Linked DNA regions of Anolis sagrei. The protein of the gene in region 2 purifies or fractionates together with the protein of the main gene of each other region. This does not show direct contact. Links are inferred from orthologs where the notes say so. Each region holds a gene or a part of one and is shown on either strand. Other genes may lie near its edges.

The links.
Region 1: the proteins of DYRK1A (region 2) and CDC27 purify together in Homo sapiens (affinity purification with mass spectrometry; 3 studies listed by BioGRID and IntAct, with this or other methods). This does not show direct contact. The link is inferred for Anolis sagrei from reciprocal best matches to the Homo sapiens genes DYRK1A and CDC27.

What each region holds. Positions count from the first base shown.
Region 1 is NC_090026.1:44,042,523-44,052,722, forward strand, and holds the start of CDC27 (cell division cycle protein 27 homolog), read left to right. Parts: upstream 1-5,617; 5' UTR 5,618-5,906; coding exon 5,907-5,933; intron 5,934-10,200. UniProt on the Homo sapiens protein: Component of the anaphase promoting complex/cyclosome (APC/C), a cell cycle-regulated E3 ubiquitin ligase that controls progression through mitosis and the G1 phase of the cell cycle.
Region 2 is NC_090023.1:71,920,341-71,931,057, reverse strand, and holds the start of DYRK1A (dual specificity tyrosine-phosphorylation-regulated kinase 1A), read right to left. Parts: upstream 4,619-10,717; 5' UTR 3,835-4,618; intron 1-3,834. UniProt on the Homo sapiens protein: Dual-specificity kinase which possesses both serine/threonine and tyrosine kinase activities. Exhibits a substrate preference for proline at position P+1 and arginine at position P-3.

The sequences.
Region 1 (10,200 bases), on a different chromosome or scaffold from region 2:
TACCTTTGCTCACTTCCTGAGACCACTGAGACCCTCGCCAATCACTAATCAAGACTAAACTTGCCACATGGAGCTCCAATGACCCACTCTACATCCTGGTGCAGTTTGGAGGACAGACCATGGATGATGGGTCTTCAAGTACCTCCACTCCCTTCCGAAGATTGCTGCAACCCTCTTCTAATGACCAATCAAGACCAAACTTGCCACATAGAGCCCCCATGATCCACTCTACATTCTGCTGCTGTTTGAAAGACGATGGACTTTGGATGATGGGACTTGCAGTACCTTCACTCACTTACTGACACCACTGCCACCCTCATCTAATGACTGATAAAGACCAAACTTGCAACCGGAGCCCCCATGACCCACTCTATATCCTGCTGCTGTTTGTAGGAGGATGGGCCATGGATGATGGCACTTCAAGTACCTTCACTCACTTCCTGAAAACAATGCAGCCATTATCCAATGACCAATAAAGACCAAACTTGGCATACAGAACCGCCATTACCCACTTTCTCTAATAACCCGGGCAGCGCCGGGTCCCCAAGCTAGTATATAATAAAGAAGAGTGTTTGTTTGTATAGGACAGAGGAATTGTGGAGGGCGGTGTATGTGCCAGCGTTCTGATTGGCTGCCGCTGTGGTGCTATTTGCATATGGTCTCTGATTGGGCAGCTTCAATAGGAGCCCCTGGTGGAGAAGAGGGTTCATGGCAGAAACAGGGCATGACAGAAGGAAATTTGCATATGGTCTCTGATTGGCCAGCCTCAAATCCAACATTCCGAGATGACAAAGAGAGGAAAGGAAAGGCCAAAGGGGGCTGGGTCAGAACACTCCCAATACAGACCGAAATAGGCACACAGAGCCCCCATCACCCACTCTACATCCTACTGCAGTTTGGAGGACTATGAACCATGGATGATGGGACTTGCAGTACCACCACTCACATTCTGAGACCGCTGTTAACCTTAGCCAATGACTGATCAGGGCCAAACTTCACACATAGACCACTCATGACCCACTTTACGTCCTGGTGTGGTTTGGCCGGGGATGGACCATGGATTATGGGACTTGCAGTACCATTGCTCAATTCTTCATACCACTGCAACCCTCATCCAATTACCAATAAATACCAAACTTGGCACACTGAGTCTCCATGACGCATTCTACATCCAAGTGCAGTTTGAAGGAGGATGCACCATGGACGATGGGACTTCCAATACCTGCACTCCCTTCCTAAGACCATTACAACTGCCAACGATGATGGATCAGGACCACAATTTACACAGAGAGCCTGCATAACTCACTCTACATCCTGGTGCGGTTTGGAAGAATCTGACAGTGGATGATGGGACTTGCAGTCACTTCACTCACTTCCTGAGACCACTGAGACCCTCGCCAATGATTCATCAAGACTAAACTTGGCACATGGAGCTTCAATGACCCACTCTACATCCCGGAGCAGTTTGGGGGACGACAGACCATGGATGATGGGACTTCAAGTACCTCCACTACCCAAGACTGCTGCAAAATTCATCTAATGGCCAATCAAGACCAACGTTGGCACACAGAGCCCCCATGACCCACTCTACATCCTGCTGCAGTTTTGAAGAAGGGTGGACCATGAATGATGGAACTTCCAGTACGTTCACTCACATTCTGAGACCTCTGCAAACCTCATCCAATGACGGATCAAGACCAAACTTGGCACATAGACCTCTCATGACCCACTTTACGTCCTGGTGTTGTTTGGAAAAATTTGGAGATGGATGATGGGACTTGCAGTACCTTTGCTCACTTCCTGAGACCACTGAGACCCTCGCCAATGACTACTCAAGACTAAACTTGCCACATCGAGCTCCAATGACCCACTCTACATCTTGCTGCAGTTTGGAGGAGGACAGACCATGGATGATGGGACTTCAAGTACCTCCACTCCCTTGCAAAAATTGCTGCAACCCTCTTCTAATGACCAATCAAGACCACACTTGGCACACAGAGCCCCCATGATCCACTCTACAGTCTGCTGCAGTTTGAAAGGGGATGGACTTTGGATGATGGGACTTGCAGTACCTTCACTCACTTACTGACACCACTGCCACCCTCATCTAATGACTGATAAAGGCCAAACTTGGCACACAGAGCCCCCATGACCCACTCTATATCCTGCTGCTGTTTGTAGGAGGATGGCCCATGGATGATGGGACTTCAAGTACCTTCACTCACTTCCTGAAAATAATGCAGCTGTTATCCAAAGACCAATAAAGACCAAACTTGGCATACAGAACCGCTATTACCCACTTTCTCTAATAACCCGGGCAACGCCGGGTCCCCAAGCTAGTATAACATATAATACAGTGCAAAGCATTTTATCCCCATTGGCAGCCATTCAGAAGACCTACTCCCTTCCCTGATTGGCTCAGGAATAGTCAAGTAAGGATCTGAGCTGGGGACTCTGTGTGATGTCAGGGGTGCATGGAGTCTCCCTTGTGGTGGGAAAAATGGAAAGCTGCTATTCGTCCACTTGAAGCTGGAACCATTTGGAAGATCCTCCTAGGACAGTGGTTCTCAACCTTTCTAATGCCGCGACCCCTTAATACAGTTCCTCATGTTGTGGTGGCCCCCAACCATCACATTATTTCTGTTGCTACTTCACAACTACAATTTTGCTACTGTTATGAATCATAATATAAATATATGATATCCAGGATGTATTTTCATTCGCTGGACCAAATTTGGCACAAATACCTGATATGCCCCAATTTGAATACTGGTGGGGTTGGCAGGGGATTGATGTTGTCATTTGGGAGTTGAAGTGGCTGAGATTTATAGTTCACCTACAATCAAAGAGCATTATGAACTCCAACAATGGAATTGAACCAATCTTGCCACACAGAATTTTCTTGACTAACAGAAAATACTGGAAGGGTTTGGTGGGCCTTGAGGTTTGGAGTTGTAGTTCACCTATATCCAGAGAGCACTATGGACTCACACAATGATGGATCTGGACCAAACTTGCCATGAATAGTCAACATGCCCAATGTGAATGAACACTGGTGGAGTTTGGGGAAAATAGACCTTGGCATTTGGGAGTTGTAGTTGCTGGGATTTATAGTTCACCTACAATAAAAGATTATTCTGATCCCCACCAATGATAGACTTGGGCCAAACTTCCCACACGGAACCCCTATGACCGACAGAAAATCCTATGTTTTCAGATGGTCTTTGGCGACCCCCCTGACACTCCCTCGTGACCCCCCCCCCCCCAGTTCACCTACAATAAAAGATTATTCTGATCCCCACCAATGATAGACTTGGGCCAAACTTCCCACACGGAACCCCTATGACCGACAGAAAATCCTATGTTTTCAGATGGTCTTTGGTGACCCCCCTGACACTCCCTCGTGACCCCCCCCCAGGGGTCCCAACCCCCAGGTTGAGAAGCACTGTCCTAGGAGAAATGGGGCAAGACTTGGAAAATGATCTGAAATAGTCTAGGTGACAGAGACAAAAGACAACGCTTATGCAAACACTTCAATTACATCTCTAAAGAGGCTTGGCTTCCTGGATGTTCAACACTCCAACAGTTTCTCAAGCACATTTTATATAGTTCACGTTTCTTTGGGTGCTTGATTCTTGTACATATGAGTCCTCTTCCCTGACTGTTCATTAATAAAGAAAACGTAGGTGCAAAGGTTCTCCTCCAGTGGCAGATTAGAAAAAAATGTTATTTCAATACAGTTTTGCATAGTTCTCTTACCAGGGAAGAGGGGAAAAGAGGGAGATAACAACAACAACAACAACAACAACAACAACAACAACAACAACAACAACACTTTGTTTATAAACTGCCTTTATTTATATGTATATTCTGCCTTTATTTATATTTATATTCTGAGGGGACTCAGAGTGGATTACAGTGTGTGTGTGTGTGTGTGTGTGTGTGTTCCCGTACCTTGGGAAGTCTGATCTGACCACAGTGGTCCACGCTCTTGTTACATCCCGAATAGACTACTGCAACACACTCTACGTGGGGTTGCCCTTGAAGACTGTTCGGAAACTTCAACTGGTCCAGCGAGCGGCAGCCAGATTGGTCATCAGAGCGACATACAGGGAGCACACCACCCCCCTGCTGTGTCAGCTCAACTGGCTGCCGGTTCAGTTCCGAGCACAATTCAAGGTGCTGGTTTTGACCTACAAAACCTTTTACGATTCCGGTCCAGTGTATCTGTCCGAACGTATCTCCCTCTACGTCCCGCCCCGTAATGTGAGATCATCTGGGGAGGCCTTACCCTCGACCCCACCGCTTTCACAAGTGAGGCTGGTGGGGACGAGGAGCAGGGCCTTCTCAGTGGTGGCCCCTCACCTGTGGAACTCACTCACGGGGGAAATTAGGGCATCCTCTCCTCTCCTTCAGGAGGAAGGTAAAGACGTGGCTGTGGGACCAGGCCTTTGGGCAATGTGACAATTAGATTTGGACAACCAGATGGATAGGACTGAAAGGACTGACAATTGTGGATTGGAATTTGAACTATGAGATTGCGAAACGCTGACCGTCAATGAGAAGAATGGTTTGTATTGGTTTTACTGCTTTTATGGTTGTTTTTGCCTTACAATAATTACTGTCTCTATTAATTGATGTTACTGCTAGAATTGCCGTTTCTGTTACCTGATGTTATTTGTCTTATTGCTGTTATGTGATGCGGGCATCGAATTGTGCGTTGCTTTTGTAAGCCGCCCTGAGTCCCCTCCGGGGTGAGAAGGGCGGGGTAGAAGCAACCGAAATAAATATGTGTGTGTGTGTGTGTAAACAGACACAGGCAAACATTCAATACCTTGATTACAATGACAGACAATGAGACAACAAATGCATAAACAAAAGCAAAGGCTTCTCCTTTCCTTTCTGGCTCTGGAGGTGGTGCTCACAGCAACCCGGATATGAAAGCTTTCAACAACACATTCAATGGGTTGTTTCCAGTTCAGGAAGGCTGGAAACACTCTGCTTCTGGGTGGGGTGTTTGTAGGTGAAACAACCTGTTGTAAGCACAAAATCCTGCTCGGCAGGTTGTCCTATTCCAACTCCCAATACTCAAGGGGAAAGGTATTGACAGCAATCGGGTATTTTTTTTGCCTCGACCCACTTCGTCTATTTCCGTAACAGGCGCCGAACGTCTTCGTTTATTTCCGGATATTCTCGTGTCCCACTGTAAACGCTTATTAGGAGGCATGTTTATCTTACCCATACATTACTTCCGGGTATTCTCGTTTCCCACTGCAAACGCTTATTTTGATGCATGTTTACCATATGCATACATTAATTACACCATTCAGGCCAAATGTCATACCTATATGATGAGAGACAATGACTCCTAAACATATTTTCAAGATGGAGATTCTTTTTTTCTCTCCCATTTCAAAGCAGGGCCGTTTCGCGCCACTTCGGCGACTTACGTCAAACGGGGCGAAGAAGGACGAGTCCGCGGCCGCTTGGGGGCAGGCGTTGGGAAGCCTTCGTCTCCTTTCGGCTCTTTCCGTGGAGGCGTTCGGGACGCGTTCGGCTCATTCCGTGTCCGCTCGGAAAAGCGCGGAGGAGGAGGCCTCGCCGAGGTCGGGTCTTTCCGTGCCTTTCCGTCGGCGGCTCGGGAAGATTCGGCTCCTGACGGGCCGGGGCCTTCCCTTCCTTCCTTTCCCTTTCCCTCCTGCGCGGCCCGGTTAACGGTCGCAGCCAGTTTAAATGAGACGGGGTGCGGGTGGCCGCTGCTACTACTACAAGTACAACTACTACTACTACTACTATTCCCGCGTCACCCACGGAGGCGGAGTCTGAGGGGGGAACAGAGAGAGGAGGGGGCGCCCTGGGCCCACCTCCCTCATCCGGGTCCTGTCCCTGAGGGGAAGCCGGGGAGGATGACGGTGCTGCAGGAACCCGTCCAGGTAGGGACCCCGCGGGCCAGAGAGAGAGAGAGGCCTACGCCGGGCGGCGGGAGGAAGCAGGCAGGCAGGCCAGCCGGCCGAGGAGCCTCTCCCTCCGCCTCCCCGCCGGGAAAAGGCTGCTGCCGAGCCAGGGAAGTGCCTCCCGTGGAACTCTTCGCCCAGGACCTTCTCCCAAGAGGCTGGAAGGAGCCATGTGGAGGGAGGGAGGGAGGGAAGGAGGGCTTCAAGGGGGTCCTTGCCCCCCCCTCCTGCCCTCAACATTAACCCCTGATCAGGAAAACGTCGCCCACCCTCCTCCCAAACCTTCCAGATCCTCTCCTGGGTTGCTCTTCACATAAAGCATGCACACACATTAAGTTATTAGTATGACATCATGGCACTACAGGTAGACTCACCCTCCTAAATATCTAAAATTATGTTCAGCCTTTCTCCCCATCCATCATCTCCACCTGAAAAAGCATTAAGTTATGAACATGACATCAGGCAACTTTCAGGGCCCTTTCCACGCAGCCATCTCACCCAGAATATCAAGGCAGGTCATCCACAACATCCCAAATCATAAAATTTATGTTCAGCCTTTCTTCCCATTCCTAATCTCTATCGTAAAAAGCGTTAAATTATCAATAAGACATCAGGGCCCTTCCACGCAGCCATCCCACCCAGAATATCATGGGCCCTTCTACACAGCCATCTCACCCAGAATATCATGGCAGGCCATCCACAATATCCCAAATCACAAAATTTGTGTTCAGCCTTTCTCCCCATTCCTAATCTCTATCGTAAAAAGCGTTAAGTTATCAATAAGACATCTGGGCCCTTCCACGCAGCCATCCCACCCAGAATATCATGGGCCCTTCTACACAGCCATCTCATCCAGAATATCATGGCAGGTCATCCACAACATCCCAAATCACAAAATTTATGTTCAGCCTTTCTTCCCATTCTTAATCTCTATCGTAAAAAGCGTTAAGTTATCAATAAGACATCAGGGCCATTCCACACAGCCATCCCACCCAGAATATCATGGGCCCTTCTATACAGCCATCTCACCCAGAATATCAAGGCAGGTCATCCACAACATCCCAAATCATAAAATTTATGTTCAGCCTTTCTTCCCATTCCTAATCTCTATCGTAAAAAGCGTTAAATTATCAATAAGACATCAGGGCCCTTCCACGCAGCCATCCCACCCAGAATATCATGGGCCCTTCTACACAGCCATCTCACCCAGAATATCATGGCAGGCCATCCACAATATCCCAAATCACAAAATTTGTGTTCAGCCTTTCTCCCCATTCCTAATCTCTATCGTAAAAAGCGTTAAGTTATCAATAAGACATCTGGGCCCTTCCACGCAGCCATCCCACCCAGAATATCATGGGCCCTTCTACACAGCCATCTCATCCAGAATATCATGGCAGGTCATCCACAACATCCCAAATCACAAAATTTATGTTCAGCCTTTCTTCCCATTCTTAATCTCTATCGTAAAAAGCGTTAAGTTATCAATAAGACATCAGGGCCATTCCACACAGCCATCCCACCCAGAATATCATGGGCCCTTCTATACAGCCATCTCACCCAGAATATCATGGCAGGTCATCCACAACATCCCAAATCACAAAATTTATGTTCAGCCTTTCTTCCCATTCCTAATCTCTATCGTAAAAAGCGTTAAGTTATCAATAAGACATCAGGGCCCTTCCACACAGCCATCCCACCCAGAATATAATGGGCCCTTCTACACAGCCATCTCACCCAGAATATCATGGCAGGTCATCCACAATATCCCAAATCACAAAATTTATGTTCAGCCTTTCTTCCCATTCCTAATCTCTATCGTAAAAAGCGTTAAGTTATCAATAAGACATCAGGGCCATTCCACACAGCCATCCCACCCAGAATATCATGGGCCCTTCTACACAGCCATCTCACCCAGAATATCATGGCAGGTCATCCACAACCTCCCAAATCACAAAATTTATATTCAGCCTTTCTTCCCATTCCTAATTTCTATCGTAAAAAGCATTAAGTTATCAATAAGACATCAGGGCCCTTCCATACAGCCATCTCACCCAGAATATCATGGCAGGTCATCCACAATATCCCAAATCACAAAATTTATGTTCAGCCTTTCTGCCCATCCCTCATCTCCACATTTAAAAGAAGGCATTGTGATTAAAATGACATCTTGTCACTACAGGTTTTGAGTTCTCCCTCCCAAATCTTGGAAATTATGCCCTGCCTTTTTTCCCATTCCTAATCTCCGTTTTAAAAAGCATTAAGTTATCAATATGACATCAGGGTCCTTCCACACAGCCATCTCACCCAGAATATCATGGCAGGTCATCCACGACATCCTAAATCATAAAATTTATGTTCAGCCTTTCTTCCCATTCCTAATCTTTATCGTAAAAAGCATTAAGTAATCAATAAGACATCTGAGCCCTTCCACACAGCCATATCACCCAGAATATCATGGCAGGTCATCTACAATATCCCAAATCACAAAATGTATGTTCAGCCTTTCTCCCCATTTCTAATCTCTATCGTAAAAAGCATTACGTTACCAGTAAGACATCAGGGCCCTTCCACACAGCCATCTCACCCAGAATATGATGGCAGATCATCCGCAATATCCCAAATCATAAAATTTATGTTCAGCCTTTCTTCCCATTCCTAATCTCTATCGTAAAAAGCATTAAGTAATCAATAAGACATCAGGGCCCTTCCACACAGCCATCCCACCCAGAATATAATGGGCCCTTCTGCACAGCCGTCTCACCCAGAATATCATGGCAGATCATCCACAATATCCCAAATCATAAAATGTATGTTCACCTTTCTAGCCATTCCTAATTTCTATCGTAAAAAGCATTAAGTTATCAATAAGACATCAGGGCCCTTCCATACAGCCATCTCACCCAGAATATCATGGCAGGTCATCCACAATATCCCAAATCACAAAATTTATGTTCAGCCTTTCTGCCCATCCCTCATCTCCACATTTAAAAGAAGGCATTGTGATTAAAATGACATCTTGTCACTACAGGTTTTGAGTTCTCCCTCCCAAATCTTGGAAATTATGCCCTGCCTTTTTTCCCATTCCTAATCTCCGTTTTAAAAAGCATTAAGTTATCAATATGACATCAGGGTCCTTCCACACAGCCATCTCACCCAGAATATCATGGCAGGTCATCCACGACATCCTAAATCATAAAATTTATGTTCAGCCTTTCTTCCCATTCCTAATCTTTATCGTAAAAAGCATTAAGTAATCAATAAGACATCTGGGCCCTTCCACACAGCCATATCACCCAGAATATCATGGCAGGTCATCTACAATATCCCAAATCACAAAATGTATGTTCAGCCTTTCTCCCCATTTCTAATCTCTATCGTAAAAAGCATTACGTTACCAGTAAGACATCAGGGTCCTTCCACACAGCCATCTCACCCAGAATATCATGGCAGGTCATCCACGACATCCTAAATCATAAAATTTATGTTCAGCCTTTCTTCCCATTCCTAATCTTTATCGTAAAAAGCATTAAGTAATCAATAAGACATCTGGGCCCTTCCACACAGCCATCTCACCCAGAATATGATGGCAGATCATCCGTAATATCCCAAATCACAAAATTTATATTCAGCCTTTCTCCCCATTCCCAATCTCCATCTTAAAAAGCATTAAGTTATCAATAAGACATCAGGGCCCTTCCACAAAGCCATCTGAGTCTTCCTTCCAAATCTCCAAAAGTATGTCCTGCTTTTTTTCCTCATCTCTCATCTCCACAATCAGAAACCATTGTACTCATGTGACATCATATCACTTCAGGTTGAGTCTCCCTCCTAAATCTCCAAAATTATCTCCTGCTTTTCTCCTCATCTCCACATTTAAAACAAACAAACAATTGGTATTAGTATGACATCATATCATTACAAGTTAAGTCTCCCTCCCAAATATCTGAAATTATGTTCTGCCCTTCTCCCCATCCTTCATCTCCATCTTAAAAAGCATTAAGTTATTAATATGACATCAGGCGACTTTCAGGGCCATTCCACACAGCCACATCACCCAGAATATCAAGGCAGATCATCCAAAATATCCTGTTTGAACTGGATTATCTGAGGCCACTTCCACATAGCTGAATAAAACCCCACATTATCCACTTTGAACTGGGATATATGGCAGTGTGGAAGGGCCCTAAGTCCAAACTGCCATATAATCCAGTTCAATGTGGATTTTATACCTGTTTGGAAGGGG
Region 2 (10,717 bases):
TCCTAATGTTCAGGCGGAATCTCCTTTCCTGTAATTTGAACTCAAAATTCAGAAATAACTACCAGAAAGACCCCTACTTCTTTGCCCATAGGAATCAACAAGTTGGAAGAGACCACAAGAGCCATCCAGTCCATCCCCTGCCATGCAGTAACACAATCAAAGCACACCTGACAGAAGACCATCAAGCCTCTGTTTAAAAGCCTCCAAAGGAGGAGCTTCCACCTCATTCCAAGGCAGAGAGTTTCACTGCTGAATAGCACTCACAGTTAGGAAGTTCTTCCTAATGTTCAGGCGGAATCTCCTTTCCTGTAATTTGAACTCATAATTCAGAAAAATACTACCAAAAAAACCCTACTTCTTTGCAAATAAGAATCAAAAAGTTGGAAGAAACTACAAGGGCCATCCAGTCCCTCCCTTGCCATGAAGGAACACATAATCAAAGCACCCCTGACAGAAGACCATCCAGCCTCTATTCAAAAACCTCTGAAGAAGGAGCCTCCACCACACACTGCAGCAGAGAGTCCCACTGCTCTCACAGTTGGAAAGTTCTTCCAAATATTCAGGCAGAATCTTCTTTTCGGTAATTTCAATTCCAAATTCAGAAAAAAACTACCCTAACAAAACCCTACTTCTTTGCCGATAAGAATCAAAAAGTTGGATGGGACTACAAGGGCCATCCAGTCCATCCCTTGCCATGCAAGAACACACAATCAAAGCACCCCGGACAGAAAACCATCCAGCCTCTGTTCAAGCCTCTAGAGAAGAAGCCTCTACCACATTCCAGGGGAGAGTGTTTCACTGCTGAACAGCTCTCACAGTTAGGAAGTTCTTCCTAATGTTCAGGTGGAATCTCCTTTTCTGTAATTTAAACTCATAATTCAGAAAAAACTACCAACCCCCCCCCCCCCACTTCTTTGCCCATAAGAATCAAAGAGTTGGAAGGGACTAAAAGGGCCGTCCAATCCATTGCTTGCCATGCAGGAACACACAATCAGAGCACCCCGGACGGATGGCCATCCAGACTCTGTTCAAAACCTCCAAAGGAACCTCCGTCACACTCCGGAGCAGAGTGTTTCACTGCTTAACAGTTCTCACAGTTAGGAAGTTCTTCCTAATGTTCAGGCAGAATCTCCTTTCCTGTAATTTGAACACATAATTCAGAAAGAACAACCAAAAGCCCCCCTACTTCTTTGCAAATAAGAATCAAAGAATTGGGAGAGAACACCATCCAGTCCATCCCTTGCCATGCAGGAACACACAATCAAAGCACCCCTGACAGAAGACCATCCAGCCTCTGTTCAAAAGCCTCCAAAGGAGGAGCCTCCACCTCATTCAAGGGTAGAGTGTTTCACTGCTGACCAGCCCTCACAGTTAGGAAGTTCTTCCTAATGTTCAGGCAAAATCTGCTTTCCTGTAATTTGAACTCATAATTCAGAAATTACTACAAAAAAGCCCCTACTTCTTTTCCCATAAAAATCAAAGAGTTAGAAGAGACTACACGGGCCATCCAGTCCATCCCTTGCCATGCAGGAACACACAATCAAAGCACCCTGGACTGATGGCCAGCCAGCTTCTGTTCAAAAGCCTCCAAAGAAGGAGCCTCCACCACACTAAGGAGCAGAGTTTCACTCCTGAACAGCTCTCACAGTTACAAAGTTCTTCCTAATGTTCAGGCAGAATCGGCTTTCCTGTAATTTGAACTCATAATTCAGAAATAACTACCAAAAGCCCCGCTCCTTCTTTGCACAATAAGAATCAAAGAGTTGGGAGAGACCACCATCCAGTTCATCCGTTGCCATGCAGGAACACACAATCAAAGCACCCCTGACAGAAGACCATCAAGCCTCTGTTCAAAAGCCTCCGAAGGAGGAGCCTCAACCACACTCCAGAGCAGAGTTCCACTGCTGAACAGCTCTCACAGTTAGGAAGTCCTTCCTAATGTTTAGGACATAATCTCCTTTCCTGTAATTTGAACTCATAATTCAGAAATTACTACCAAAAAACCCCTACTTCTTTGCCCATAAGGATCAATGAGTTTAAAGAGACTACAAGGCCCATCCAGTCCCTCCTTTGCCAAGCAGGAATACACAATCAAAGCACCCCAGACAGAAAACCACCCAGCCTCTGTTCAAAAGTCTCCGAAGAAGGAGCCTCCGCCACACTCCAGGGTAGAGAGTTCCACTGCTGAACAGCTCTCCGTTAGAAAGTTCTTCCAAATGTTCAGGCGGAATTTGCTTTCCTGTAATTTGAACTCATAATTCAGAAATTACTACCAAAAAACCCCGACTTCCTTGCCCATAAGGATCAAAGAGTTTAAAGAGACTACAAGGCCCATCCAGTCCCTCCTTTGCCAAGCAGGAATACACAATCAAAGCACCCCAGACAGAAAACCATCCAGCCTCTGTTCAAAAGTCTCTGAAGAAGGAGCCTCCGCCACACTCCGGGGTAGAGAGTTCCACTGCTGAACAGCTCCCCGTTAGAAAGTTCTTCCAAATGTTCATGCGGAATCTGCTTTCCTGTAATTTGAACTCATAATTCAGAAATTACTACCAAAACACCCCTACTTCTTTGCCCATAAGGATCAAAGAGTTGGAAATTACTACAAGGGCCATCCAGTCCTCCCTTGCCATGCTAAAACACACCATCAAAGTACCCCAGATGGATGGTCATCCAGACTCTGTTTAAAAGACTCCGAAGAAGGTGCCTCCATCATACTCTGGGCCAGAGGGTTCCACTGCTGAACAGCTCTCACACTTATGAAGTTCTTCCTAATGTCTAAGCAGAATATCCTTTCCTGTAATTAGAACTCATAATTCAGAAATAACTACCTTAGCCCCCCTGCTTCTTTGCCCATAAGAATCAAAGAATTGGGAGAGACTACCATCCAGTCCATCCCTTGCCATGCAGGAACACACAATCAAAGCTCCCCTGAGAGAAGACCATCCAGCCTCCGCTTAAAAGCCTCCCAAGAAGGAGCCTCCACCTCATTCCAGGGCAGAAAGTTTCACTGTTGAACAGCTCTCCCAGTTAGGAAGTTCTTCCTAATGTTGAGGCGGAATCTCCTTTCCTGTAATTTGAACTCATAATATAGAAATAATTGTAAAAAAAAAAAAAAAAACCCTAGTTCTTTCCCCATAAGAATCAAAAAGTTGGGAGAGACCACAAGGACCATCCAGTCCATCCCTTGCCATGCAGGAACACACAATCAAAACACCCCAGGACGATGGCCATTCAGCCTATACTGAGAGAGAAGAATAAATTTCAATTAACGATCCCAATCCAAATCATTCCCTCCTAAGTTATAGATCGAGTCCTTTGGGGGGTGAAAGGGTGGTCTAGGAATGATTTTTTTTAATTATAAATTGAGAACCAGTCCTGATTTCCCCCCGTTCAGGTGCATTCTCCCTCTGAGTGACACAGTAGATAGGACAGGTACGTGCTGCAGCGGCCCTCGGCTGACAGAAACACTTCTCCTCGTCAGCCTGGGCTGCCACACCGTCCAAACAGCCCGACAACAGGTGCGGAGGGCGGGAAAGTAGAGAGGAGGGGGAGGCCCACCTGTCCACTTCTCCCCCCACCCCAAAAAATAAAAGCAGGGCCTTCCTTCGTAGCCCAGGTGCGCGCCATGGATCCCTCTCAGCCAGGCCTCCTCCGGCGCCTTCGCGGTTTCCCTGCCTGATCGGAGGAAGGGAGGAAGCCGGCGCCGCTGCCTCCCGCTTTCCTCCAGGCCGGCCTCCTCCTCCTCCTCTTCAAGATGGCAGCGGCCCTCCTCAGCCTCCCTCTCTTCGCCGCGGAGGCCCCGCCACTCACTCACTCGTTCACTCACTCACTTACCCGGGTCTGGGGCGGTGGCCGCCTCCCCGTCCTCCTCGGGTTCCTGTCCGCAGGGCCTGCAATAATCCCGACCGAGGCCTCCTTTCCCGGCGGCGGCGGCAGTGGCGGGAGGCGCCCTCAGTTCATTCCCCGCCTCAAGCCGCGGAGGTCCGGCTCGGCCCAGCCCTCAGCGGCGTCCCCGCTGTCGTCTTTTCCTCCTCCTCCTCCTCCTTGTTCTTCAGGGCCTTCGTGGCCCCGGAGCGGAGCCAACCACGCACCCCCTCCCTCCCTCCCTCCCTTTTGGAGGGAGGTAGGCAGGCAGGCAAGAAGGGAGGTGGCCCGGCCCGGCGGGCGGATCCGCGGCGTTTCCTGGCCGGGAAGGCTGTCTTTCCTCTCGCTCACAAAATGGCGCGCGTTCCAAACCTGCGCAGCGAACGGCCAGCCTGGGCCCGGACCCAGCGTCGGAGTAGCAGTGGCGGCGGCGGAGGAGGAGGAGGCTTCAACGGCTGCGGTGAGGCCGGGCCGAGCGAGGAAGGCAGAGGCAGGAAGGAAGGAGGACAGCGCGGCGCTTGAACCGAGCCCCCGGGAAACTCCTCGCTCGCTCGCTCGCTCGCTGGCTGGCTGGCTCTCCTCCCCTCTCTCTCTCTCTCTCTCCCTCCCTCCTTCGCTCTCGCTCCTTCCCCTCCCTCCTCACTGCCGGCTTCTCTGGAACTAAGCTCCAGCCACACACACACACTCACTCTCTCACGCGGGCGGGCGGGAGTGCGCGCGCAGCCGCCTCGCTTGCTCCTTTCGGCCTCCGCTGACGAGAATCAGATTTCAAAAAAAATAAAACCTCAACTACCTCAAAATAATATATATATATTTAAAAAAGTAAAGCTTCCGTGAGGGGATTTCTAATATAACCCACTCGGAAATTAGCTCATTTAGGCGGGAAGAGGGGGGAAATTGTAAAAAAAAAAATCTTTTTTTAAAGAGGCCCAACTGACAAAATGGCGGCCGGGAGAGCCTGTTACTATGACAACTGTCAATCACGCCGCCACGGCCCCGCCCCTGCCAGGCGGGAATCCGCGCTTGAGGAAAGAGGAAGGGGTCGAAGGAGGCGGAGCTTGGTCGCCTTGGCGACTAGTGCTTCGTTCCTGTCAATCATGCCGTCAGGGCCCCGCCCGCTGCCAGGCGGGAATCCGCGCTTGAGGAAAGGGAGGGAAAGGAATGGGTCGAAGGAGGCGGAGCTTGGTCGCCTTGGCGACTAGTGCTTCGTTCCTGTCAATCATGCCGTCAGGGCCCCGCCCGCTGCCAGGCGGGAATCCGCGCTTGAGGAAAGGGAGGGAAAGGGAATGGGTCGAAGGAGGCGGAGCTTGGTCGCCTTGGCGACTGCTGCTTCGTTCCTGTTGTTATAAATTCCGAGGAGCCTGCGAGCAGGAGCGCGCGCGCGCACGCACGCGGTACTGGGGCTACCCCTCGCGCCTGCCTGCCTGCCTGCCTGCCTGCCTTCCTGGTGGGTCTTCTCGCGGGTTGCCATGGGGACGGGACGGAGCAGTCCCGCTTCAAGGTGAGGAGAAGGAAGAAAAGAAGGGACCGCAGGCCTCTCACATCCGTGCTCGGTGCCGACTCGCTGTGGTGTTCTTCCGTCTCCGCGGTGTGGTCCAAGTGGCTTCGGACAAGCATCTCCGTCAAATGGATATCATACAAAGGCCGGAGCGAGAGGAAGGGGAGTGTGCCGCTGGGTTTCTTTCTGACAGTGCTGCTGAAAGGGGAAAAGGCGAGGCCCGGCACCCGTTCGCCCGCGGTGGCGCCAAGGCCTCTCTACCGAGGATGGGAGCCATGGGGCCTTGGCGGAGACGGAGCCCCGAAGACCCGGCGCAAGGGAAGGAGGAGGGCCAGGAAGGCGCCCCGAAGGAAGGAAAGAAGGGGCCAGGGCAGCCTCCTCGCTTGCAGGGGCGCCTTCTCGCCCTCGCTGGGAGATTTTAAACACCTCCCAGGCTGGATTTTCGCTGCCTAATAATGCGGTTTGGAACTGCATTATATGGTTCCACACCGCATTATTTGGCCCTAGTTTTGGGGTTGAGTTCCTGCCATTAGGGACCACTTTAATCGCCATGCTACTTTGACAAGCCTCTGCTAATGAAATCTGGGGCCTCGCCAAACTACAACTCCCTGTATTCCAAAGCAGGGGATCATGGCAGTTAAAGTGGCCTCAAATTGCATTAATGGTACACTGCAGATCTATGGGCACACTTGGGCCTTCCCTCCAGGTGTTTTGGACATCAGCTCCCACCATTCCTAACAGCCTCAGGCCCCTTTCTTTTCCCTCTCAGCTGCTTAAGCAATGATGTATACAATGATGTAGTTGTAGATATACTGTATATACTCGAGTATAAGCCTAGTTTTTCAGCCCCCTTTTTAGGCTGACCCCCCCCCCTTGACTTATACTTGAGTCAAGGTTATTTATTATTTTACTCTGTTATTAGTATTATTTGTATTTAATCTTTTATTCTATTTGTTATTATTATTACATTTACATTATTTTACTTTATTATTATCATTATTACATTTATTATTTTAATCTATTATTATTACATTTATTTTTCTCTATTATAATTTTATTACATTTTATTTACTCTATTATTATTATTTTATTACATTTATTATTTTACTCCATTATTATTATTACTATTATTACTGTTATTACATTTGTTATGTTACTCTATTATTACTGTTATTCTTACATTTCCATTATTTTGCTCTCTTTATTATTGGAAGGATACACAAGCACATTTACGCTGAAGAAGGTTAGAGTAATGGTTTAATCAGAGTTTGACATAAATTACAGTTTTATGTAAAAATTCAAAAACATTTCACCTCCTGATGCCTCCATTAATTTAATTTCATTTATATCTATTTTTTATTTTGAAATTGGCCCATAGCTGCTGGATTTCCCACCCTCGGTTTATACTCGAGTTCATACTATTTCCCAATTTTTTGTGATAAAATTAGACACCTCAGCTTATATTCGGGTCGGCTTATACTCAAGTGTGTGTGTGTGTGTATAGTAAAAAAATCAAGGTTTGCTTTTGGGATTTTTTAAAAAAATAGGTATTTTCAAGAGGTTGAATCCATAAAGCGGACTGTTTCCCATTGGCACTGTTAGCCACGCCCTAATATGGGATGGGCAGCATAGATAACCTGATGAGGCAGGATTATGGAAGCTACAAAATACATCTGAACAGGCAAAATGACAAAGCCCTGTCCCAATATAATATCAGAGATCAATTGTCCTTAGGGTAGGCATGGGCAAACCTGACTTGAGGGCCACATGCTAGCATTCCCTGCTAAGAGGACTGGCAGCCTGGTGATGGAAGGAAGGAGGGGAAGGATGGAAGGAAGGAAAAGGGAGAGGAGGAGAAAGGAAAAAGAGAAGGAAGAAAGGGTGGAAGGAAGGAGGGAGAAAGAGGGAAGAAATGGAGGGAAGAAAGAGAAGGAAGGAAGGACAAAATGGAAGGGAGGGAAGGAGAGAGAGAGAAGGAAGACAGGATACCGAGAGAGAGGAGAGTCTGAGAAAAGAGCCCAAGGGGCCAAATCCAACCCCCAGATCTGGGTTTACCCATACCTGCTTTAAGGCAACTAAGTGTAATAAGGGCAAAGATTCCAAACCAATTATTGCTTATGCAGAAGAGAAGATTTCTGCAAGTCTTGCTTGTCATGTAACCAGCATCTGCTGAACTTCCATACAAGCACTAAAACAGTATTTCTCAACATTTTTTTTTACCTAGAAGAACCTCAGAAATAATTTTCTGGGCTCAGAGGCTGCAACTACACTGTAGAATTAATGCAGGTTGACATCACTTTAATTGCCATGGCTCAGTGCTGTGGAGTCTTGGGAGTTGTAATTCTGCAAGGTCTTTAGCCTTCTGTGCCAAAGTGTGTGGGTGCCTCTCTAGGGTTCCACAGCACTGAGCATGGCATTTACTCCACAGCATAGATAAACCAAAGAATCCTTGCATTAAAATTATTATACTTATAGCTTATATAAATGTTTGTTTTTTCAGTCATAGTCTCTTGCAGGAACCAGTGACCTCACACAGAACCCTGCTTGATAAGCCCTGCATTTTTTCATGCCACTTATAATTGGATATGCTGCATCTCATTCCTTCCTTCTCTTTCCTCCCCGCATTCCTTCCCTCTTTCTCCCTTCTTCCTTCCACCCTTTCTTCCTTTAAGAAACACTTAGGCATACTTGCCCTACTAAGTGAGGGCATGCCTAGTTCAGTCACAGGCCATGACTTGTAAGATTTTTGAACTATGAACCATATCTTCAGAGGTTTCTCAACTGTGAGAGCCAAGGCTGCTGTATGATTTGAAAACCTTACTGCTGTCAGCAGCACTACAGGAGCCCCCGGTGGCGCAATGGGTTAAAACCTTGTGCTAGCAGGTTGGTGGTTCGAATCCAGGGAGCGGAGTGAGCTTCTGTTTGTCAGCTTCAGCTTCCCATGCAGAGACATGAGAGAAGTGTCCCACAGGATGGGAAAACATCCCGGTGTCCCCTGGGCAACGGTTGGTTTGAACCCAGAGAGCTGGGTGAGCTCCCGTCTGTCAGCTCCACCTTCTCATGCAGGGACATGAGAGAAGCCTCCCACAGAATGGGTGTCCCCTGGGCAATATCCTTGCAGATGGCCAATTCTCTTACACCAGAAGCGACTTGCAGTTTCTCAAGTCGCTCCTGACACGAAAAAAGCAACACTACACAATCTTGTACATATATTTTTCAGCCATTAAGTGAATGAAGCAAACGTTCCATATATGAAACAAACCACATAGCACTCTCTTATCATTGTAAGGATATGTGTAGATACAGTTAATGTATAATTGCTCTATCTTGGACTACATGGCCCTTGTGATCTCTTCCAACTCTATCCTTCTGTGATCCTTTTTTCAAGGATTTGGGAATATGGAAAATCCAGACAATTACATGTTAAAATTGTATCCCTCCTGTGTATTTCTGCTGCTTCTTCCATCTTTATCTATATAAATAAAAATGTAATATTCATTTGTGGGATTAACAGAACTTGAAAACCACTGGACGAATTGACCCCAAATTTGCACACAAGACACCTACCATAGCAATCTATGTCCTTGCTATGTCCTCAAAAAAAATCAACCAAAAAAAAAACCGGAAAGTGCTTAAACCCCCACAAGCCTGAATGGCTATATAGACCACGCGTTAAAACGACACCTTCCTGCACCCCCCCCCCCGCACGAAGGGGGAAAAAACCAACAGTTGAGAGAGAACTGCTGGGGAGAGGGAGGGAAAGAAAGGTGACCCACAGATACTTTTCTCAAGCCCCTGCCTTTCCCTTCCCAAACACTTTTATTTATATAGATAATTTGAAATCACTGTTCCAGGAGGGAGTGGGAAGATGGGGGGGAGGGCATGGGTAATGGGTGATACACATCTAAGGAATACAGAAAGTGACATTTGAGGTAAAGTGACTTTTGGAATAATGTATATCGAAATAAGATTTGTATGGCAAAAGTTTGTTAATTAAATGGATGCATCAATAAATTATTTTAAAAGCTGATTTGAACTGCATTTCTTAATACATTTGCATCGTTGTAAACTCCAATGAATGCAATAATATTTATAAATATTGGTACAAGACCTAAATAGTGAATGACAGCAATTCAGCATCTGGCTATAGAGTAGTCAATGGCTTAGTCTGTCCTTAAGTGCCTTCTAGTTTATAGGGGACTGTACCGATAATGACCATATTTAAAACAAAACTTCTAAGGAGCAGGAGTAATGTTTGAAATACATGGAAAGAAAAATCATCAAACTGGTTTGCAGTATATTTACTCTAAAAAACTACTGAGGCAAAGTAGCTCAAGCACTTCATTTTTCTATGGGGAGCCTTTATATTTATTTATTTTTATTTATTTACTATTCTTGTATACCGCTGTATCTCAAGCCTGAGGGCGACTCACAGCGGTTTCCAAACAGCAAACAGCAAAGACAATAAAAACAGCAATAATTAATATGCAATAACAGTTAAATTACACATTTCCATTACTAGCTAATAAACAATCATCAATACACAGTTATCACAAATCCCACCCCCGATCACCTCATCATCCAAACGTGATCCAAATTCGTCATCCATTGTTCCGTTCCTATGTTCAAATTACCAGAATTGCACTGAATTACTCAAAACGCCTGCACAAACATCCAGGTCTTCAACTTTCTACGGAATGTCATGAGAGATGGTGCCAGTCTACAGGAAGGGCGTTCCACAGCCGAGGAGCCACCACCGAGAAGGCCCTATCTCAACCGTGCTTGAGAGGCTGGCGGGATCGAGAGCAGGGCCTCCCCGGAAGATCTCAAAGTCCGGGTGGGTTCATAGGCCGAGATGCGGTCAGATAGGTATCTTGGGCCGGAACCGTTTAGGGCTTTATAGGCCAGTACCAACACCTTGAATTGGGCCTGGTAGCAAATTGGCAGCCAGTGGAGCTGGTGCAACGGGGGTTGTGTGCTCCCTGCGCTCCGCTCCCGTTAGAATCATGGCTGCCGCGCGTTGGACTAGTTGCAGCTTCCGGGCCGTCTTCAGGGGCAGCCCCACGTAGAGAGCGTTGCAGTGGTCTAGGCGGGATGTGACAAGAGCGTGTACCACCGTGGCCAAGTCAGACTTCCCAGTTTGCAAACCAGTTTTTAAAAATTAATGAATACATATTACTTTAATGCATCTGGCGTTAATACAGTATATAGTGTTGAACTTTAACCTGGGAGATCCAAATTCAAGTTTTTACACAACCAAATGCTTAGCAATCTCTACATCAACACTAACAAAGAAACAACAAAAATACTGTTTACCCACAAGCAAAAAGAAATTACATATATTAGGAATAATAA